2 linked regions of the Rhinolophus ferrumequinum genome follow. The protein of the gene in region 1 interacts with the protein of each later gene in a biochemical or structural test. Links are inferred from orthologs where the notes say so. Each region holds a gene or a part of one and is shown on either strand. Other genes may lie near its edges.

Evidence for each region.
Region 2: the proteins of ARHGDIA (region 1) and RDX form a complex in vitro, tested with the Homo sapiens proteins (2 studies listed by BioGRID and IntAct). The link is inferred for Rhinolophus ferrumequinum from reciprocal best matches to the Homo sapiens genes ARHGDIA and RDX.

What each region holds. Positions count from the first base shown.
Region 1 is NC_046304.1:54,655,413-54,666,944, reverse strand, and holds ARHGDIA (rho GDP-dissociation inhibitor 1), read left to right. Parts: upstream 1-6,211; 5' UTR 6,212-6,333; intron 6,334-7,765; 5' UTR 7,766-7,792; coding exon 7,793-7,982; intron 7,983-8,125; coding exon 8,126-8,209; intron 8,210-8,441; coding exon 8,442-8,518; intron 8,519-8,604; coding exon 8,605-8,668; intron 8,669-8,777; coding exon 8,778-8,977; 3' UTR 8,978-10,150; downstream 10,151-11,532. UniProt on the Homo sapiens protein: Controls Rho proteins homeostasis. Regulates the GDP/GTP exchange reaction of the Rho proteins by inhibiting the dissociation of GDP from them, and the subsequent binding of GTP to them.
Region 2 is NC_046294.1:78,764,899-78,776,899, forward strand, and holds the start of RDX (radixin), read right to left. Parts: upstream 5,462-12,001; 5' UTR 5,313-5,461; intron 4,009-5,312; exon of another isoform or gene 3,955-4,008; intron 1-3,954. UniProt on the Homo sapiens protein: Probably plays a crucial role in the binding of the barbed end of actin filaments to the plasma membrane.

The sequences.
Region 1 (11,532 bases):
CTCGCTGCTTGTCTGTATTGACGAAAAATCACATCTCACCTCCTTTCAGATTGCCTTGGATTACTTAAATTTTATAGAAGTACTCTCAATAATTTTAAATCTTCCTGAAATTGATACAGCTATCATCTTCCTTTATTTCTATTAAGGTCAGCCTATTTATTTAACTAGATGTCAAGTGTCATTTTGTCATTTTGATACTCAGATTTATAGAAGAGACCAGTACACATAATTCCTGCACGTTCCTCAGCCGACCCCCCAGGTGTTAACATCCCACCAGATCTTTTTTATTGTTTTTTTCTGAATGGATTGAGAGTAATCACAGCATGATGCCACTTACCCCTAAACCCCTCCACGGGTATTTCTGTAAAAGCAAGGACAACGTCTTACCTAATCAGACACGGACACTGACGCAATCCCACTGTCCTGCCTTATGCAGGGTTAGCCAACTGTCCTTGTCACCTGTGCTATGAGTACTTGTCTAGCCCACCTGAAAAAGGAGAGCCTGGTCCCGCTCATGGACCCGTCCTAGACGGGCAGAGCTTTAGTCTCTGCGTGTCATGACCTTGGCGCTTCTGAAGGTCAATTCCATTGGGAATTACGTCACTATGATTAGACCAGAGTTAGGTATTCTTGGCAAGTATACAGCAGTTGGCATGTTTCCGTCTCCGTCCGTCCCACAGGGTCCTCGATGGCTGTCGGTCTGTCTCGCAACTGGCCACGTGACTTGGCTCACTTCAGGTTTCTCTACTGTAAAGTGGCTGTTCTCCCCTTCGTAACCCATAATATCTTGGGGGAGAAACTTGGAGACAAGTGAGTATCTGTTTTGCCCGTGAGTTTTAGCGTCCTGTGGTAGTAATTATTGTGGATTCCGTGGTGAGTGTTCACACTTCCCTCAATCCTTCAACAGTAATTAGAATTATCTTCTAGGAACGAGCCATCCCTTGCGCACCGCTTATCCAGCCAGTTATGTCAGTGTGGACTCGTGGCTATTTGACTCTGAATCAGAATCGGGTAACTGATTTTGTTGCTCAGACTATTTTAGGTTTGGCCGTTGGGAACTTTGAGGGTCCCTCCTGTGCCCTTTTGACATGCCGGTCCTTTTGAAAGCATTTCCTGACTCTCTGGTGCCAGGAGAGGCTCCAAGCTCACCTATTCCCCAGCTCCTTTCATGGGCACTGGTGTGCTGGGTGTGCTCACTGTCACCGGGCCCCTGGGGACAGAGCTAGGAAATGCACACACTAGCTCCTGTGCACCCATCTGCGTTCATTTCTGTACCTCTCAGGCTGAAGAGACGCATGAAAAAACCGTGAGTTCACTGCGGTCTCACTCCAAGCCCGCAACCCAGTCATTCTCTCCTCCCCTTATTTGTAACTTTTCTCTCTGGCAGTGTTCTCACTGCTCCCATCACCTACACGATGTTTGCCTACACGTCGGCTATCGTTTAGGTGTCCACCTCACCTAGTCTCAGAACCACTGACCCATCCCCCGCGGGAGACCTCTCCGACCAGGGCACAGCATTGGGTTCAGTTATTTCTGTGTCGGGCCATGGAGTCCCGGGGTCGTGCTGGTGCCCAAAATGTGAGTCCCTTTCTCTCTTCCACCCGCTTCACTGTTAGTTGTGTCATTTGTACCATACTGAGTTCATCCTTACCGGTTATATTTCATGGTGGCTTCCCCAACATACCCTGCTGGGGTTTTTTGTTGTTATTTTTTATTGTTTTTTAATTTGCATATATTAGTTATTATGGAATTACATATGGTTGTGTAATTTTCATAAATGTTTATATGATTTACATTAATTAACTGTTATTATTAATGAGTCACCCTGGGATTAACTGACTATTTGGGTGAAATTAGCAATAAAAAATGCATCATTAAAGATTTTAATGTAAAAATAAAACCAGGAGGTAATCTCATTAATTTTCAATATATCAATGTGTCTGTGGTCACCTACCCTAGACAGTTAGTTTGTATGTTACGTATGCAGGTTGTAGAAACAAATTATAAAATGTTTTAGCACATTCATTAATTGTAAAATAACATCTATATGTAAAAATTAATTTGAGCATCCCACTTTCTTAGATGTACAATCCATCATAAACAAGCCACTCAAGTCACCAGCAGTTATTTCAGAGACAACCTTTCTTTGTCCTCGTTGAGGGGTTGAGGGTGGGGACTCCTTGGGCACGAAATGATTCATTCTGAAAATTGGCAAATGAAAGGAACAAACATATAATCTGTTTTGTTTTCTATACAAACTGTATTTCGAAGGGATTAAATCATTGATGGGGAGAGCTTTTTAAAAAAGAATTCCAGCTAAGCAGTGCTGGCATATTAGGAAATGAGCACTTTGCGATGCCTGATGAAATACGCCTGCTGAGAATAATGCTGAGGGTGGCACAGCAGGCCAACCTGCCATCCGGAGCTCATGGCACCTCTGAAAATTGACCTGGGGCTTGTCCAGCCTGAGACGTAGGACAGCACACCGGGAGGGCGGAGGCAGGCCAGTAATCCGGAAGTGCCAGTAAGGGAAGTCTCAACCACAGGTGTCCCAGTTTCCTCCGCACCTGAGGGCACAAGCACAGAAAACTGACTGTGGCACAATCAAGGTAGATTGGGCCTTTGTCCCCATTCCTAGCCCAGAGTTCCAGCCCTCGGAATGTCCTGACAGGAGTGGCTTTTGTTATTTGTAACCAGTCCCTTTCAACCACAAGCAGTTTATGGTAATGAGATGATGACTCTGGGTGGTGTCAAGATGGATGCTGGTCACCAGAAAGACTAGGCATCATTAGAGGGTTGGCACTCTCAACCTGGTCCCCTGACCTCTCAGAGGGGACAGAGCTGTAGGTTGAGTTAATCACCAACGACGATTTCATCAGTCTTGCCTCTTAATGAAGCCTCCATGAAAGCCCCTAAACAGTGGGGTTTGAAGAGGTTCCAGGTGGTGAACAGGGGTAAGTGCTGGGAGGGTGGAGCTCCCCGGAGTCCCCCCCCCACGCACCCCTACCCTGCGCATTTCTTGCTGGTCCTGAGTTGCGTCCTTTATAATAAACCGGCGATCACAGGTGAAGAGCTTTTCTGAGTTCTGTGAATTGTTCTAGCGCATTTTTTAACTTAAGGGGGTGATCGTGGGGACCCTCAAATTTGTTTATCCAAAAAAAAGAATCCTTTTCCTTAGGAATAAACACACACTGAAATCCACATGGTGGAAACCACGTGTGAGATTTGCTTCAAGCTGTGTGTGGGGAGGAAGAGGGACAGGTCAAACGGGACTGGCTGCCAGGGAAAGCCACTGAAGCCACGTGGAAGGTCCATCAGGGTTCATGACACCACGCTTTCTACTTTGGTGTGCGGTGGGCCACCTCCTGGCACTCACACCTTGCAGTCCCATACTTCGCTGGGCCAGGACAGATCTGCGTGCCAGTATAGTAGGGCAGAGTGATGGCATGACACTTCTGAGATGACATCGTAAGAAACGCAGCGGCTTCATCTGACTGCTTGCTGCCCCCTTCTCTGTTCTGTCTGCCTCTGCCTGTCCATCTGTCTGTCTCTGAGGCCTCACTTGGAGGAAGCCACCTGCCCTGTGTGATCAGCTCTACGGAGGGGCCGGGACGGGAGCTATAGGTCGCAGGGAACTAAATCCTCAGGCCATCAGCCCACGGGTGTGGAACTGAGGGCCCAAGCACGTGCGTGAACTTGGAATTCCAGCAGGTCTTGGAGACCGTGGCCCTCCTGCACAACAGCTTCATCACAGCCTCCTGAGAGACCTGGAGCCAGAACCATGAACCGCACTGCTACGCTGCTTCCCGATCCTCAGAAACCATGGGAAATAATAAGGGTTGGGTGTTTTGAGCTGCTAAATTCCAGGCTATATTTTACACAGCAAGAGATTACTAATACACATATGTTTAAATTTTCTATAACAGAGTTTGGGTTTTCTTTTCAAGGTACATGGGTCATCTGAAAGCAGATTTGTCCTCGAGCCATGACTCAGGTGGCTGTGCAGCGGGACGGTCCCCAGTAAGTTGCCTCAGAAGCAACACACTGAACACCAATTAGGATGCTCTGCCTTTGGCCAAACTTTCTGCCTATAAAGTTGATAGTGCAACTTTCAGTTACAGAAAAATTGCAAATACACCTCAAAAAGGGAGAGAGATCTTTCCAAAACATACTGAGCTCAGTATTACGCATTGTTCTATCACCCCAAATGCCCTCCTGCAAACGGTGCAGAGGTGTGTGTGCGATGACTTCTGTCAGCCTGGGTTCCCTGCCAGGCAGTGTAGACCAGACAGAAGGGCCCTACCGTCCTGGAGTTGAACCATCATTGAAGGAGGCATGAGTCCATTGTCACGTGATTACAATTTTACAAGTGCCGGGGGGTGAAGGTGGGGTGGCACACCCCCCAGGTGGGGCATTTAGGGGTTTGGACCCCACACGGAGGAGTGCCGGGCGAGGCTTTGGGTACTGCAGGCTCTGCGAAACAGCCCACATTTTATGGGGCCCCTGGTGCTACAGAATGTTGTTTGGTGTGTGGACCAAGGTCTGAAATCCATACAACTAGAGCACACAAATGGAGACACTGGGGTCTGTGGTAAAGAGCCGACTGAAGTAACTGTGTCATCTGTGCCAGCAGCTTCCGAAGTCATGAGAGGCGAGGAGTTCCTCAGTGACCAGCTCCCCTGAAGTATTGCTCACAAGGTAGCCAAGTGTGCTGGGCCCAAAAATACTCCTTCAGTCTGGAGGGGAACATACAGGCACAGGACAGTGGCCAGACCCCTCTCCAGGAGGGCAGTGCTGGGCCCAAGCGTGCCCTGGACACTGAACCTTGTTCATCGCAGGGGATGGCAGGGCAGAGGGTCACGTGCACAGCCTTGGACAGGCTGCGAAGTGAGGAGTGAGTGAAGAAAAGATGACTCAAAATGGAGTTCCTATAGTCAAGCCAACAAAACTGGTTCAGTGCAAATGGGCTGAGCGTGAGGAATGGGTTTTATTTCACCAGCCTGAGTGAGCACTTCAACTGTGGAACTTCCCAGTTGTGCGTGGATGCCTGGAAATACGTATATATCCTACAGCCAGCCTCTGAAGGGCTTGGAAAAGTGTTCCCAGGTCCGAACCACCGACATCTGGAAGATTGTAATCTCAGGCCAATCCAGCACCACTAGAATGCTTGACGGATTTTTTTTTTTTTTTTTTAAAGATTTTATTGGGGAAGGGGAACGGCCTTTATTATTGGGGAACAGTGTGCACTTTTTTTCCCCAAGTCAAGTTGTTATCCTTTCAGTCTTAGTTGTGGAGGGCGCAGCTCAGCTCCAGGTCCAGTTGCTAGTTGCAGGGGGCGCAGCCCACCATCCCTTGGGGGACTCGAGGAGTTGAACTGGCAACCCTGTGGTTGAGAGCCCACTGGCCCATGTGGGAATCAAACCGGCAGCCTTCGGAGTTTGGAGCACGGAGCTCCAACCGCCTGAGCCACTGGGCCCGCCCTGGACCGATTCTTACAGCCTGCTTTTTCCTATGAGAACTCTTAGCTTTTCTTCTTCTGAACCCTCTGGGTATTGCCTGGGTTTCCGCTTTGCAAACCCTTGGCCAGGTGAAATCAATTTTTACCTTTTATTTCTAGCCAAAGCCTCCCAACTGTCTGTGCTGGGTGCACAAGACACCAGGAGATGCCCACCCCCGGGACTTGGACAGGACGGGAACCCACAGAGCGTCCTGTGAGTGGTTGGTGTGAACTCGACGGAACATCCAGTGTTCACTTCCAGGAGGGTGAGGCAATGGCGAGGACCGACGGGCTGGCTCACTTGGGAGAGCGGCCGGAGCGGACCCCGGGTGTAGCGACCACCGGGCTGTGAGACCAGGCCAGCGCTGGCTGCCAGAGCAGGGCCCGCTGGGCCCGGACGTGGGCTGCGCGCCTGCAGAGGGACAGTCCCGCGCGTTACAGATGGCGGCAGAAACGCACGACGTCCAGGTGGGGTCCACGCAAGACGGTGACACTGCCCCGTCCCCGTCTGAGTTCGCGGGCTGAGCCGTGGGGACGCCCGAGCTGAAAAATGCCCGCAGCAAGGGGCGCAGAAGCACCAACCAGACCAGCCTTCGCGGGCAAACCGGCCTCGCGAGCCGCCTACGCGGGACGCGCCCACGAGATTGGCCCCGCAAGATGGCGGCCGCGCGCTCCCGGCAGACCCCTCGCCCGCGCATGCGCCCTCCGTCGGCCCGCCCGGCCTGAGCGGAAATCGCGTGACCCCGGAAGTGGCCGGCAGGGCGCGCGCGGGCGGGGCGCCGACGTTCGTCATTTTGTGCGGGAGGGAGCGCGAGCGCGGCGCGGTCGAGCCTCCGGTGAGCGCCAGGGGCGGCGGCGGAGGCGGCGAAAGCGGCGGAGCTGGGAGGGGGCGGGGGCCGAGTCTTTGTCCGCCCCTCCCGCCGGGGGGATCTGCGTGGGGCGGGGGCGGGGGCAACAGTGACAGCGGGCGGCGGCCGGGGCGCAGGGCGGGTCCCCGGGCGCACGGGCGTCCACGTGCGGGCGGGGGGCGCAGGCCTCTTTGTGGCCGCCGTTCGTGCGCGGCGCCCCCTCGCCGGTGCGCGCCGGGTGCACCAGGCCTGACGCCCCTCCCCTGGGGAAGGCGCGCCCTGCCCCCGGCCGTCTCCGAGCTTCCCACCCGACCCCACCCCACCCCACCCCACCCCACCCCACCCCTCGGCCAGCCCTGATTGCGGGTCCTGCGGCCGTGCGGGCGCCGGCAGTGCGCTTGGAGGATCCTGTCGCCTGCGTCCGCACTTGCTGGCGTTAGGGCGTGAGCTTTCTAGAGGAATTCCAGAGGAAGCGCCTGGGAGGCCTGGAGGGACTGGCGGCCCCACCCCGCCTGGGGCGGCCGGCCCGCTCAGAGCGGCCCTTTGTGGGATCTGGTACTCGGGCAGACCCCGGCTGCCAGGCGTTGTTTCTCATCCCGTGGCAACTTGAGGTCCGGGGTCAGCTGGCCCTGACCCACCTCCCACACAACGAGAGGGGTCTGCGGGGGTTTCAGACACACCGTCCGGGATGCTAGGGGGTGCTGTAAGGATCCTTAGCCTCCTGTACTGTTCTGCGCCTGCTCCAACAGTGTTGCTCCAGGCTCTTCTAGCCGTTGCTTCACGAAGAGGGTCTTGAGAATACCCAGGAGCTGCAGCAGCTCCCAACTCTAGGTCACAAACCATCACAGCGGGAGAGAATGTGGGCAAACACTTAAAGTTCCCCATGCGCTTTTGGGACCTACCTGCGGGATTCAGGCTGGGCCAGTTATTTGAGCTCTAGGAGAGCCCTGTGTTTGCAGGGCGAGGCAGAACTGACCTGTGTTGTGGATAGAGGTCTTGCATTCTGGCCAGGACGGGGCCAACGGGTGTCCCTGGTCAGAGCAGCTCCCTGAACCAGCAGGAGGGGTACCTTGGGGTGAGGACCTGGGCACTTCAGAGCAGCAGAACTCTAGGTGACTAAGTCGGGTTCTGCCAGTCCAGGCTGGGGTTGGTGCCACCCCCTGGGGATGCCTAGTCCCTTGAGACGGGCAAGGCAAGTTAGTGAGGCCCCTCTTGGCCCCAGGAGCCTGTGTCTAGGCCCTTTGCAAAGGTCTGGCTGCAGCTGCCCTCCCGCTCCAGAAGTTGCATCACCCCTTGGCTGCAGCTACAGGGTCTGGCCACCTGCAAAGATGCCTTCAACACAGCCCCCTGCTGCCAGGGAGCGGGAGGGGGAGACACTGGGTCCCTGCAGGCTGCCACAGCCCCTTCCGCCCCCCTGCAGGTGTTCCGGACCCAGCTAGAGGTGAGCATGGCAGAGCAGGAGCCCACAGCTGAGCAGCTGGCGCAGATTGCGGCCGAGAACGAGGAGGACGAGCACTCAGTGAACTACAAGCCCCCGGCTCAGAAGAGCATCCAGGAGATCCAGGAGCTGGACAAAGACGACGAGAGCCTGCGCAAGTACAAGGAGGCCCTGCTGGGCCGCGTGGCCGTCTCAGCTGGTGAGTGGCTGGACGGCACTGAGACTGAGGGGACACCTGTGACTCTTCTGAGTTCCCCGTGCGGCTCCCTACCCCAGGCAGGAAGTTGTGTGCTTGAGGTGGGACGCCAAGGGGTGGAGCTCTAACCTGCTGTCACTCCACAGACCCCAATGTCCCCAACGTTGTTGTGACCCGCCTGACCCTGGTGTGTAGCACTGCCCCAGGCCCCCTGGAGCTGGACCTGACAGGTGAGTGGCGCCTCTGAGGTCCCTGGCTGAGGCTGTGTTGGACACCTTGTTGCTTCCTCTAAAAATGGTTTCCTGGAGACCGTGCGCCCTCTCGTGGGGAGCACAGGAAGGGCCGCCCAGTGGTCAAGGCTCTGGCTGTGGGGGGGGGCAGGGGGGATGCAGTCCCAGTGGAGTTGCCCAGGTGCGGCTTCCCCTGGCTGAGCCTCCTAGCGCAGTGTTCTCCTGAACACAGGCGACCTGGAGAGCTTCAAGAAGCAGTCATTTGTGCTGAAGGAGGGAGTGGAATACCGGATAAAGATCTCTTTCCGGGTAAGGTGGGGGCCCTGGGAGGGAGGCGCTGGGGGGGCCGGGGCTGGAGAGCCCAGCTGAGTTCCGCGTGGGGTCCTTCCCGGCAGGTGAACCGGGAGATCGTGTCCGGCATGAAGTACATCCAGCACACATACCGGAAAGGCGTCAAGAGTGAGTGAGGGTGGGCGCCAGGCCCTGGCCCCCAGGAGGGAGGTGGCCCCGGGGCCAGGATCGGGAGGGAGGAGGAAAGGCTCCCTGACGCCGCCTCCCTGCCCTGCAGTTGACAAGACCGACTACATGGTGGGGAGCTACGGGCCCCGGGCGGAGGAGTACGAGTTCCTGACCCCCATGGAGGAGGCGCCCAAGGGCATGCTGGCACGGGGCAGCTACAACATCAAGTCCCGCTTCACAGACGACGACAAAACTGACCACCTGTCCTGGGAGTGGAACCTCACCATCAAAAAGGAGTGGAAGGACTGAGCCCGGCCTGGGAGGCGGGCAGGGCGATGGACGGAGGGATGTATGCGCCCCACCCCACCCCACCCCACCCGACCCCATACCAAAGTGCTGACAGGGCCCCTGCCCACGCTGCCATCTCCCCTGGTTTGCCTCCTGGCCCGCCCGGCCCTCCCCAGCCCACAGGCCCCAGCCTCCCGGTGATCTAGTGTTGTTGCTGCTTCATCCTGTGCTGTGGGGGAGGGAAGCTGCAGCCCAGGCCTCCGCCTCCCCCTTGGTTCCTCCAGGTTCCCCCTGCTCTAAGCCAACTTGAGTCCCTGGCTTTTCCAAGGGAGTGGGGCATTGAATGGGGTCTCGGGGTGCTCAGGTCCCCCAGGGCCTTTTCGGTTGCCCTGACTCTGCTCATCTCCCCCTATGGGGTGGGGGTGGGGTGCACGATGCAGGGCCTAGGGGCAGGTCATCTCCAGCCGTCACCCTCCCTGGTCAGTTCCTCTGTCGCTGTCACTGTCTAACCATGATGCCTTAACATGCGGAACGTGTGTTCTGGGGCCGTCACTAACCTCTGACCCTGTGTCCGCATGAGCATGTGGTCTCCCCAGCCCCCGCCCCACCCGCAGTCCCTGGGGCCCAGGGCAGTGGGACGCTGCTGCTGCTGCTGCTGCTGCTGCTGCTGCTTCCCGGCCTGCCAGGGCCTGGCCAGCCCCTCCCCCCCAAGCCAGGGCTGTGGGGACAGCTCCAGGGGCTTGGAGAAAGCCAAATTGCCAAAACTCCAGTCCTATCTGCGAGGCTGGGAGTCCTCACGCCTCGCCTTGTCTGTCATCTGTCCCAGCGGGCAACACCCAGACCCAGCGCCCAAGGCCCCCCCAGAGCCCTCGGCAGACAAAGCCAGCGGCCGAGCCTTACTTGGCCCACCTGGGCCTGCCAGCCTGGAGTGGCACGCCTGGCCTGTCAGTATTTATTGCCTCCACATGTGCCGTCCTCTGGGCCTGCCACCTCTGCCCCCAGGCTCGGTGCCACCATCCCCGGCAGGCCCTCCCCAGACCCAGCCAGGACAACTGTGGGACCAAGTGTGCACAGCCGGAGCCGACCCCTGTGCCTCCCCTCCTTCCCCCTCCCTGGTCAGGCCCTGGGCTGGACCGCACAGGAACCTGTCCCTGCTTCTCCTTTTCTGACCAGGAAATAAACTTCCCTGAAGGAGCCTGGGTGTCTGCTGCTTGTCTCAGTGGGGGAGGAAGGCTGGGCCCATTCCTCTGCTGCCCCTAGGTGCCAGGTGTGATGCCCATGGTCCTGCAACTGTTGAACAGATTTAAAACCCTGGCCCAGCCTGTGTGGCCAGTGTTGGCCTGTGCAGACCTCGGACGTCCCAAAGGACCCTCGGTTGGTGTCCAGCTCTCTGCAGTGCGCCCCCTGGCGTCTGCCTGCTCTGTCCCCACGTGGCCACTGTCCAGCCTCGAGGAAATGCCCCAACTCCAAAGAAGGAACCTTGAGCTCTGCCAAAGGCGTTACATGGGAAACCAAAAAAAGGACAGAGACGTCCCGTAGACAATGTCCCCAGGCTGTGGGTCCACTGGGTGTGTGGGTGAGCCTGAGGCGGGGTACCGGCGTGCAGGGGAAGGCTAGGCCAATGGAGAGGGTGGCAGGAAAGGCAGGCAAAGCTCCAGCATCCAGCAGGGCCAGGTAGGGCCAGTGGTCCAAAGGTGGAACCAGCAAGGTGGGGCAGAGGGGAGGTGCCAGAGTCCAGAGGAGCCCTCAAGGGCAGCTAGGGGCCAGGCGCACTTGACTGCCAGTCCCTCTGACCAGCAGGGTCTCTGCAAGGCCTCAGGCTGCCCGGGAGAGCACTGCTTCCTCTCAGCACCTCCCTCCAAGGCGCCCAGTAAATGCGCCCCGTCCCAGCCCTGCAGCCCTGGGATGGGGAAGGGCACGTGGATAACCCGAGCTCTAGGTCAGTTCCAGAAAACCCTGTTTCTGGACTGACGTGGGTTTTGAAACGTGTCCTCTGTGGTCTGAGCCCCTTAAAGTGGTTATGTATCATTTAGGCATTGGGGGCAGGACACTGCTGTCTAGGAGCCCCCACCCCCCCCAGACTGTATCAGTGGAGGCGTGCATTGTGCCCAGTGCTTATCCGCAGGGTGTGCCTGCCATCTGGGGTGGACCAGGAGATGCCCTCTTGCCCCCCAGGGCAGTGATCACTTGTCCATGTCAAGACAGCTCCTACAGGGCTGGTCACCCCCTCAATCCTCCAATCAGGACCCTGGGGCATCCTGGAGGCTGGGCCTGTGCTGGATGACAGGATGATGGCCCAGACACACATCCAAGAGAGCCTGGGAAACAGCCTGGGCTCCCAGCTCCCCACTGCACTGGGGCAAAGACCCTACCCGGCCTCCCCCAGAACCAGCTGTCCCACACTGAGAACGACGGCTTGGGCAGGGGAGGGCAGTGAGATCGCACAGCTCCAGGCTCCAAGGCCCCAGGCCTTTCCCACTGAGCTCAGATGCAGCCGGCTCTGAACCACATGCCTGCTGGTGGAGAAGCCAGGCGCTCCAGCACTCCCATTCACTTCCGGAAGGTCCTGTGAACAT
Region 2 (12,001 bases), on another chromosome or scaffold:
TATTCAACATTTTGAGCAAAAATATACATGTCAGTGAAAATACAAAGCAATTGCTAGAACTTAAATATAAAGCAGGAACTTCATATTTTTAAAAAATTTTACATTGAATTTACACTCTATTCTAAAAGAATTTTATAAATTTAAAAGAAACAACCGTATCTGTATTGTTCCCAAGGTGGGTAGAAAAACAAATACACTACCATTTGCAGTGATTGATTTTAAATGCTAAAAGGTAAGAAAGCTAAATCCAGTCCAATTTCTTCATTTTACATTTATGGAAATAAAGAATTCACTAACAAATGTTTAAAACGGAAAAACAAAGATAGGTTCAATGCCGTTGCACTGAATATTAACTCCAGTTTATATACACAAGAACACTTAACACACTCTGATGTATTATACAATATGGTACAACTATATTCCCATTAAGTGTGACCTCCTCAGTATCTTACACATCAAATACAAAAAGAATTTGGCATATGATTATGTCTGAATGTAGAAAGAAACCTTAAAACAGGGGTTGCGAAACTTCCTGTAAAGGACCAGATAAGTAAACTTGAGGTTTTGTGGGTGTTATGGTCTCTGTTGCAATTACTCTGCTGTTGTAGCATGAAAGTTGTCATAGATAATATGTAAACAAGCTATGATGTGTTCAAATAAAACATGATTTACAAAAACAAGCAGGAGGCTGGATTTGGCTCATGGGTCAGTTTGTCAACCCTTGCCCTAAGTATCTTAAGCAGGAAATCAACACTGTTCATTCCATAATTTAAACAAATTTCGTACCCATTAAGATATGAACTCACATCTTCCTGCTATACTATGTATGACAGATCAATGTCAGGTCTGATTTTGGGTGGGTAAGAAAGAACCCAAGACATCTGGTATATGAATAAGGAAAATAATCTAATGGGAATGAAGTTAGAAGAAAGGGCAATTCCATTATCCTTGCCAGTGACTGGCTAGGTATGGAATGTGTTCCAATCTTGGCCAACAAGACTACGATATCTGCAGGGGGGGATTCTGGAAAAGAGACAATCCTTCTCATTCCTTTGGATATTATTATGTCTGATGGGATGCTAGTCCTGCTATAGCCAAAACTGGGACCACGGGAAAGCAGTCTTATTATGAAACTAATGGTAAGACCACAGGGCAGAGAACTGGAAACAGAATAAGTCCTTGATGTGATCATTGAGTTATTCTTGAGCCTCTGCACTTTATTATATAAGATAATAAATTTCCTCATTATTGAAGCCAGTTTCAGAATTTTCTGTTATTGTAGCCAAAGCATCTTAAATGATATAAGGGCTTGAAACTGAAGATTGCTCATTTCACAACTGCACCTGCAGCCAGTCCTCTTAATTTCAACTTTTCACGAATAAAAGAAACATTTAAGGTCCTGAAAGCCCATAGATACTACCTACAACTCAGAAAAAAATATCTGTATCAGTTACTGATACAGATAACTCATAACTTTATAAATTCTATGATGGTGGAGAAAAAACAATGCGATACCTCCTTCTTTGATACTGTATCTAAAACATTCTTTCAACAGGATATTTTTTTCTCTAAACCAAGGGTTGGCAAACTTTTTCTGTAAAGGGCCAGATAGTATGTACTTTAGGTGTTGCAAAAAGTACAGGCTCTGCCACAATAGCTCTTTTAAAAGCAAGCCAATATGTAAACAAATGGGCATCCCTGCATTCCAATAAACCTTTATTTACAAAAACTTGCAAACAGGCTGGATTTGGCCTTGCAGATCAGTTTTGTGGACCTCTTCTCTAAATGATTAACAGTAAAGAGAGTATCTTTCTCAAACAAATCAACTTTACTAGAACTTATAAGTAGTTTATTTAAAATGTATATAAATTATGTAGAAAAGTAACAAGCATTTCTTGAGCATTCTATTCATAGGGTTACATCACTTGATGTAAAAAGTCTTGTTACCTTTATTTATATATAACTTCCATAAAATGTTATTTAGAATTCTACTATTAAAATGTAAAGTATATTACAATAGAAAATATAAAACTTACTCATATATAAATTTATATCTACCGAAGAAATAAAAGTATTTAAAATTAGTGAATTTGCAAGGATTGACTACTCAAAGAAAAAAAAAATCCATATATCTAACCTGAATGAACCCCCTCTTCCAGAAAGCTAAAACGAGAGTTCACAATGGAATGAATAAAGAAGTGAATTGTATGGACCATATTTCCTGTCCAAACAGTTACCCATTACAAAGATACACATACTATATGGACATTTCACTATCCCAAATCATAAACCCTTTATCAAAGCACACCATTTTCACTATGATTTATATACCATATTCTAGGAAGAAAAAATGAACCTCGCCTTCAACCATGAGCAAAGAAAATTTGCACACGTACATAAACACACTTGAGAATTATTAAATTCCACTGTGTTATTTCACTCAAATGATGAAAATCTGAGAAACATCAAGTAATGTGATTAACACAATAATAAAACACCCTTTCAATGTCTGCTACAAAATGACCTTATTTTAAACACTTTAAAATCACAATAAGATAAAAAGTATATGTTTATCCTTTCATAAATATTGACATTTCCTATACACAAGAATTGCTAATTGTAATTACCTATGAAAAACAGGACTGGGAAAAGAGGATGGGAGGTTCCAGGAAGTGAGGAGGACTTTGACCCTTTTCCTTTATATCTTTCCGGGTTTTTTCACTTTCTCCTAAAATGTATTATTTTTTAGTCTTTAAATATGGTTTAAAATACATGTTCAATATAAATTAATATTGAAAAATATACCAAGAACTAAAATGAATAGGAAAGGCAGGATTTCTCTGAAAGAGGCTAGAAATTGAGGAGCTCTCAGGGGTCAGAATAGGGCCACTTGTACCACAGTAAGAGGTGAGCAATATACTGGCTACAGAAGCCAGGGAAGTTCCGCAAGAGCCTTTAGCCCACAGTAACACTCTGGGGTTTAAAATAACCTTGTAAGGAAGGGTGGAGTCTACAGCAAACTCAATCCAGTTCACTGATCCAGTACCCCAAGTATCAGGGTAGGTAAGAAGTGCCCACTAGTTCCTGGTCCACAGGAGGTCCAAGACATCCAACAAAGGGTGACTTCCTTGACTTGCCAGAGTCACAGCAGTAAGCGTAAAATTCTATTAGCTATACCCAATCAGGTATGCTCCACCAGCATAATTCAGGCTTTAAAACCTTAATAGAACGTGTTTTTTTAGGCTTTGGTTTTTGGGAGATATTGGTTTAAAATTGCCATTTTTAATGGCATAAGTTAAAAATGCAGTAAGTTAAAAATGGATGAAAAAACTAGACTCCCACTATCATCCAACATTTCAGATTCTATTAGACTATGCATAGTAGATTAAAAGATTGAGACTGAAATGGAAACATAAAGACTTGAACAGCCTGCAGAAGATAAAAATGAATAATAAAATCCAATTCTGCTCTGCGAATGATGAAGCAATAAACAATCCTTGTTCCCCCTCCCTGAGACTACTGCAAGTTAATGAGAAAGAACAGCAGTCTGTCATTTCTTACCACAAGAAAAACAGTGAATTTGTGATTTCCTATTAAGTAATAACAAGGTCCAAAACAAAGGGCAGACGCACATACTTTCCCCACACCTAAATTAATTACATTTATTCTACAAATATTTCTGAGCCCTCCTAGTGCTCTTTCATGTGTGGGAATAAAGGAGTTAAACAAAACAGTGTATAATCCACAAGGGCAAGAATTTAATAATTTCTAAATGTCATAATCAAATTGGTCTAACTTAAATAAAACTGTAAAGAATTCCAATTTACATCTATGTATTCCTTACTAGTAATATACTGTTTACTAAATTCCATCCTATATAAAAGTGATTAAACCAAGAAACAAAGTCAGTGAAATCCTTTTTACAGCATACTATTAACTTCAAAGAAGTGTTACCTTGTCATATTTAAGGTAAGTTATTATTAGTCTCTCTGAAGGAAGATAAAGCACACTCGTGAAAGCAATGGAATTCTAAAAATAAAAGAAAAATGCAAGTCTGAATATTAGTCTTTCTTCTCAAATCTACTAATGTTGTTTTGGCAATTGGATTAAGCCATTATTTATCCAGCAAAATGAACAGGGCAATTGTTCATTCAGACCTCCGTCAGAAATATAAGAGTATTTAGTGTTCTAAAAAAAATTCGCTCTGCAAACAAACAGATTGTAACGTCTACGTCCAGTACCCGTTTATCAAATAAATCCTTATTATCTTAGGCTTTTGCATTTACATACCACTCTTAGTGCCAAAGATTCATTAAAATGCCTTTCACAAAATTTCAACTGTATTTTAAATACATCTTGGTGAAGCTGACTTTACATTTCCAACCTCAAGATAAAAAAACCCCACAAATATTGGTGATGGTTAAAGAACCATGACCTATTCTGTATAGGTGATGTGCTCTTTTTAAACTGAATTAGTGTTGTGCGCCCCCGCCACACGCCCCCTTCAGAGTTAGTCCGGGAATTAAGTTTAGGGCCCTTCAAAGGAAAGGGGGACGTAATGTACCCAACTTTTCTAGTGGGGTCTAAGATACTAAATCGGATAGCCTCAAGGGCCCGAAAAGTTAGGCTCCAAAGCCGCCGCCGCCGCCAGCGCCAGCAGCAGCAGCAGCAGCAGCAGGTAGAGCCGGGCGGCCAGGAACCGCGGCCCGAGCTCGGCTCGCGGGTGCCAGGAGTAGCTCCGCGCCCCAAACCCCGTAATGCAACATCCCTGTGCCACTAGGGCAGAACGCTCGCTCTCTAGTAATTCAACACCCTTACTTTCAAACTGGAGGCTGAGCAAGTTCTAATAAATTCCTAATCTACAATGCAAATTATAATTCTACCTACGCTTAATATCTGTATTTTCAAACTACCCTGAAGCAACGCGCAAGGCCGAACCCGCGGCCGCGCCCAGGCGGCGGGAACGCGACAGTCCCCCGGGGCGGGGAGATGGGTGGGGGGGTCCCGGGCCGACACCTCAGGAGGACCCCACGCCCGCCGGGAGGAGAATCGCTCCGCGGCATATTCGGGCCTCAGCCGGGTCACGACTCGGTTTGGGCCTGGAGGCTCCCGCCGGCCCGGGGGAGCGGCCGGGCCGTGAGGGCCGTGAGGGTGGCGGCGCCGCGGCCTGCGGGGCGCGAACACCAGCGCGTGGAGGCCCTAGCAGCGCGGCCGCCGGGCAGCGCGGGGCCCCGCAACTTCTCGCGGCCACCTCAGCGTCTCCGATAGAGCCGGGAGAGGGAATGGGGGAAGGGAGAGCGCCGGCGGCTTACCCCAACGGCTAGCGGGTCCTCCCGCCCGGAGTGTGGCTGGGGCGCTGTGCGGCGCCGCCGGGCGGCGCGGCTGCGAGGGAGAGGCGACAGTGGGAGCGCGGGGCCGCTAGAGAGGAGAGGCGCCGCCGCCACCGCAGACAGCTCCGCAATATGGCCGCCCGGCGGCTCCTCGGGGGAGAGGCGGGGCTGCCCTGCGCCCCCCGCCTCCCCTGCCGGCCAGCCGGCCTCGCGCGGCCGCCGGAGAGCCAACGCTGCCGCCGCCACAGCCGCTCGCGCCCCGCCCCGCCCCTCGGGCTCTCCGTCGCCGGCCGCGTGGGGCGTCGCTGGGGGTCGCCGTCCGGGTCCCCGCAGCGCGAGGAATGGGCTGCGGGCGCCGGAGCCCCGAAGGAACTGAGGCGAGTGCGTGGAAGGGGGAGTCCTTCCAGGGAGAACTGGGCTTGATGAAGCGGGCTAGGGGAAGCGCAGCCGCCCAACCCCAAGTCCGGAGTGCGCCCGCCGCCTCCCCGGCGAGTGGAAACTTGAAACTCCCGCTGGTGCCAGAAAACACATCGCCCCCAAGGAGGAATTCTTCCCAGAGGGAATCCAGAACCAAAGCGACCGTGTTACTTGGCTGTTCAGCTTGAAAATCTTGCATCAGGAGAGAGAAGGGGGTTTATCTCAGAGGAATTCATATTTGCAACGAAGAACGTTTAAATTATTTTGGCAGGTTTTACCCAACTAGAAAAACTTGCTTTTTCAGGGGCAATTTTTTTTAGACTTCTGCAAAACCTGGATGGATATGGCCCCAATCGAGAGTGCAGATTTTTATTCAGGCAAAGATATTTGATCATTTTTTAATTATCACCGACATTCTTGGTCAGTTAGAAGGAGTCGATTAAAAAGAAAAAGTTGCAACCAATCCTAAATATTCTAAATTTAGAGAAAGTTAGACATTTGATTATAGTCTAACTCTAGCCTACTCACTTTAGTGCTGGGACTAGATAGACTTCTGGCCAGTATTGTGTCATCTATACCATGCTCCCTCTCCTCGGTATTTTCTGCTGGGATTTACAGAGCAAAACTTGGTATGAGTATGCAAACAGCAAGTGCATAAAATTAGATTAGCCGAGCTTGCCCTGTTTGCAATGCTCAATATAGTTTACCTTTTATAAACAAACTTTGGTTCAAATAAAACCTCGCGAGTGTACTTAACTTTTAAGGAACAATAATTTCTATCCTTCCTTCCTTGGCATTTGCCTTCCTCGAGACCGTAGCATTTTCGGGAATTCTCCCCAGGTCACTTTCACTAGGCTTGCTCTTCAGTGAACTTCCATCATTGCCTTTTGAGACCTCTATGAGCAATTAAAAGCCCCAAAAGTGAAATTCAAAAGCCTTTAGATTGCAAGTTCCCCAAGGATGGAAACTAGGTGTGTGCTTTTTTTTTTTTTTAACTAAAAGATTACTCCCTGACCTCCCTGGGGTGGAAGAATTATCCAGGTAATTGTACAGCCTTCCACATCAAGTTGCGTGTATAAAGACAGTCAAAGTATTTTGTAAATTCCTAGCTAGTACACTAATTAAACAAAAATATATGTTAATAACATACTTTTGCAAGGGGAAATGAAGGATTCACTGTTGTTTGTCGTCCTTTTACACGACTATCTCTTTTAATAATTACAACAAACCTGTGCTTGGTGCAAATATTATTATGACCTAAAAAAACACAAAACACAACAATGAGTGAAGAGAACCTCAAAGGAGTTAAGTAATTTGCTCAGTGTAACACAGCTGGGAAGTGGCAGCGCTACAACCAAATCCAGTTGTATTTGACTCCAGAGCCTTGATTTTTATTCCATACTGTGCAACAGCAAACAGAACAAAAATTGTAACATTTTAGTTGGCTATCATATTAATAAATATTTAAGTAAAAAATAATATTCGAGGACGATGAGATAAAAGAGTACTTGCAGGCATTTTGAGTGGGAGTGTAAACTGAAACAACCTGTTTTAAAAAACCTGTGATTCAACCAATAAAAATGTTCTTACTCTTGGAACCCGTTATCCTTTATCTGGGATTCTTTCTGAATGAAATAATCTGAAACAGCAAAAGCTTTCTTCATAAACTCTACATCACAGTATTATTTATAGGATGCAAAAATAAAAATATGGAAACTCAATGTCTTTATGTCTATCCTGTAGCATTTTAGGTAACAATTGTAAATGTATCATGGCAAGTGTTTTCTTATAGTATTAAGTGGAAAAATAAATTATGAAACTATCCAGTGCAGTATGATTACATCTATGTTTTTTTTTTTTTTTTAAAAAAAAAAACACCTATGAGGTGCTAGGAAAAAGAAAAGATTGGAACCCAGATTTGTCTCTGAATAGTGTTTCTGTGGGCATTTTTTCCTTTATTCTGTTCTTCAGTATTTTCTATATTTTGTGGTGTAAAAAAATAAAATAAAACTATTTATTTAAGTTGAGTTTTACTACAATATGGGTTGTCAATTACAAAACCAAGCAAAGCCACTGTTTCCTAAGCGTGAGGCTCTTCTGTGAAGAATATCATGAACTGAGTTGACAGAATTTTATAGTTAGAGGGGCAGATTTACTATTGATTGTAAATGTAATCTAAACACACCATTATTTGATCTTGTTCCTTACATCAAATATATGTACCTTTAAATAAAATTAGACACTTAATTGAAAATTTTCTGTCTTGGTTTAATTCCAACATTTTAGATTTCTACTGGGGAAAAAAAAAATCGCATACATTTGCTGAAACTACTGTTTTTCAGAAAAAAAACTGATGATATCAGTAGTTACAAAAAAAAATTTATATATAGCACATAATATACATTAAAAAGAAAGTCCAAAACCAATCTATTATAGTCTGTTACGAAGTCTTCTATGCTACAATCTTACTCTACTCCACCATAATAGGATGGCTAATTCTGAATTCTAGAATTCCAGTGATTGTTACAAAGCATTTGTCTCACTAGTACATGTAAAAGATTTTCTTGAAAATGAAAATTCATTTTTGCAATTATGGTTTATAAATGGAAGTTTTCCCATCTAGGAAAAACATTGAATTCCAACCCTTTGCTAGTTTGAATAATACTTGGTCCCTGCCCTCTAAATTCAGTAATGAGAAAAGCAAACAATGCTGTGCAATATGAGCTGTAATACAGATAGACATGGTGTCGATGCAGACAGAAAAGAAGGCAATTAACTCTGCCTAGAAAAGAAAAGGCCACAGAGGAGGGGAGAGTAAAGAGATGGGGGTGGGGGGTAAGGGGTGGGAGCAGCCAGGGAAAAGGCAATCAGCTTTGAAGACCAAGTAGCAACATGGGGTTGACGTTTAGACAGGTGTTTAAAACCAGAGGTTTCAGAAAGGTAAATTGAGATCTGTTTGGGAAGTTCAGAATTTGCCCTCCCTCCATGAGGAGAAATAGGAATCCAGAAGAAGTGTTAAGAAGAGGAATAATATGATTTATGTTAGTAACTGGTAACCATGTGGATTGCTTGGGACAGAGGTTCAGTGACAGTGAAAGTGGATGGTGAGATCATCAGGATTCCTTGGATAGACTTTTGCTATAAAGCCCAGGCACTAGAGTGAGGGACTGAATTTGGGAGTTTATATGGATGAAGAAAAGGAAATACATAGAATCTTTAAAAAGCTTTGAGGAGTAAGACAAAAGATGTGAAAATGATTTTAGGGTTTCCAACGAGTACCATCGAGATAAATGAGTATAAAAGAAATAGAACTGAGAGACCAAGAGAATTAGGCAGGTTAGGAAGATACTAACTTTTAAATGTCTACGGGCAATCTAGGAACAAATGTGTATTCAGTAACTGGAAATATATAGACTGTAAGAACTATGGCAAGTGAGACATCCAATAAATAATTGTTAAATAAATGAATATACAGAGATAACATGATAAAATAGGCCTTTCATTTCCAACTATTTCTTTGGAAAATATAGTTTTGTTTAAGCCAAGGATTTTACTATTGTGTTAGATATTAATCTGAAGCCTCATAATATACTAAAATATTTTTCCTTTAAAAATTTTGATTTACTATTTTTAAAAGCTTTAAGAATGAAAAATCACAACTATTTTTAAAACTTTTACATTGAAAGAAATGCAAAAGAGAAATTTCTATTATAAACAATGATATATCATACTATTCACACTATCTTGCATATTTAAGTACATATTCACAATTTGTTCTCCAATATAAAAGCCCTTAGTAAAAATAAACAAGTAAAACTATCTTATCATTTGCTTTGTATGCCTAGTAAGCCATACAAATGTAATTGCTGATATAAGCTATAAAATTTCAGTACAGTCAATAGAGGTTTGATGGCTAATGTACCTAAACTAAAAGTCAAGGAACCGCGGATCAATTTCTACCTTTATTCTCTCCCTATATAAGATCAAATTACATAAGTACACAATTCGTAATGTGTTCACAGATATGAGCATTTTATTCTCCAACAAAGACAAGGTAAAAGTTATTACCCAATCCTCTCTTGTTTATATAATAAAACCAATTTAGTTTGTGATAAACAGCAATAAAATTTCAGAGGTAAAATTTCAGAGGTAATAAACAGAGTGGAAAGAGTCTAAATGAGGGAATCTATAACTGGCTTTATTCCCAATTTCTACAAACAAGTTGCTTAAGTGACCTTGAAAGATCCAATGAACTAGTGTGTAACTTACTTGCAAACAATGTTAAAAGAGGCAGTACATTACACCTATTCTGCCTTTTCCAGAGATTGTTTTCAGACATCATAGATTTTCAGGACTAGAAGAGGACCTCAAAGAGCATTAAATCCCCTCTCCAAGAGTATTGTGAAACGGCCATCCCATCAACAGTGGCTTTCTGCCACTAACTGTCTGAGAGCTCTAGAAAAATCTTTTTTTTTTTTAATGGATTCAGTTTTCTCATCTATTAAGAGAACTGGATTAGACAGACGATCGGTAAACTTTCTTCAAGCTCTAAAATACTTCAACTCTGACTCCAATTCACATATAAAATATTTTATTCATATACATAACAATGTGCAATTTCTAGAATTCAGTATGTATTTTATAACATGCAGAAAGCATGTATGTATAGATAATCACTTACCATGATATTTCATAATTTTTAACCCAAATATCCACTCATTTATGACTCAATAATACAAAGATATAAATACTCGTGTATATATAAATGATAAATACTCACCCTGGACTTTAGTGCTGAGCATCCTAGGCAGCTGTTTTCTAATTTATAACACGTTAGTTTTATTTTAATTTAGTTGAGTCTATACAACAGTGTTATTTACTATAGAGGAATGGTGCCCAGCACTTCATGAAATGTCAAATGTAGAGGATGTAAACTTTACTGTGGCAATTTTAAACTATATCCACAATTTATTTGATACTCCTTCCTATAAGAGATGGAATTCCCCTCCCGGGAGTGTGGGCTGGACAGAGTAACATGTTTCTAACAAATAGAATAAAGTTGAACTGATGTTATGTGACTTCTGAGACCAGATCATAAAAGGCACAGCCCCTTTCTCCTTGTTGATTCTCTCTGGGATCACATGCTTTGGGGCAAGCCAGATGCCATGTCATGAGGACACTCAAGCAGCCTATGGAGAGGCCCATATAGTGAGTAATGGAGGCCTATTGCCGGAAGCTAGTGAGGACCTGAGGCCTTCAGCTAACCGCCATGTGAGTGAGCCACTGTGGAAGCAGATGAACCTTCCAGCTGCAGTCAAGCCTTCAGGTGACTGTAGCCCTGCCAGCATCCTGAATGCCATCACCTGAGAGACCCTGAGCCAGAACCACCCAGTTAAGCTGCTCCTGAATCCCTTATCCACAGAAACTGTAAGATAATAAATATTTGTTGTTTTAAGTCACAAAGGTTTGGGGTAACTTTTTATGTAACAATTGATAACTAATGCATTAATCTATAGAGAATTTCTATTCTAATTAAGCTACTCCTTATTTTCAAAAATGATTGAATTATATATGCAAACATGCGATTTTAGAACTGGACAAGACTTCAAAGAAAATGTTGCCTCTTATTTTCCTGAAACAGAATTAAGATCTGCAGTCTGTCTTGCTCCAATTTGGTATGCTTCCATTGTTCCTATCTCAGCTAGAAACGTAGGAGCCATTCTTAACACTTCGCTTTCCTTCACCTTCTTCCTATCCAGCCTATTACTTAATCCTATTACTTTTACCTCCTCTTGCTTCTCTCCACTTTTTTATATCATACCATTCACAGCCAGGCAGGTCAGAGCAGTTATCTCTTCTAGACTCCAAGCAATAGCCTCCTAGCCAGCCATCTCATGTGAGTTTCTGACCCCTAAAATCAGTTCTCATCACTGAATCCAGAGTTCATTTGTTGAAATACAATGATCTCTCATCTCCTTTTCATCTCCTCCCCACAATCCCAAGACCCATTTGTTGCCTTCCTATTGCTGGTCATTGGTTTGTACTTTTCTTCAAGCTCAAGCCATTCTGGTCTGTTATTCCTAGAATAGGCCTTCTAGCCCATGCAGGCCACTGAGACTTGGCGCAGGTAGTTCCCTCTGTCCTACCCACCTAGATGACACCTAACCGTCCTTTCAATACCATTCTTTAAATCTCAATCATAATCAAGCCTATACTCAGCATCCTACTTAACAGCAGTTGTATTATTTTTTTTT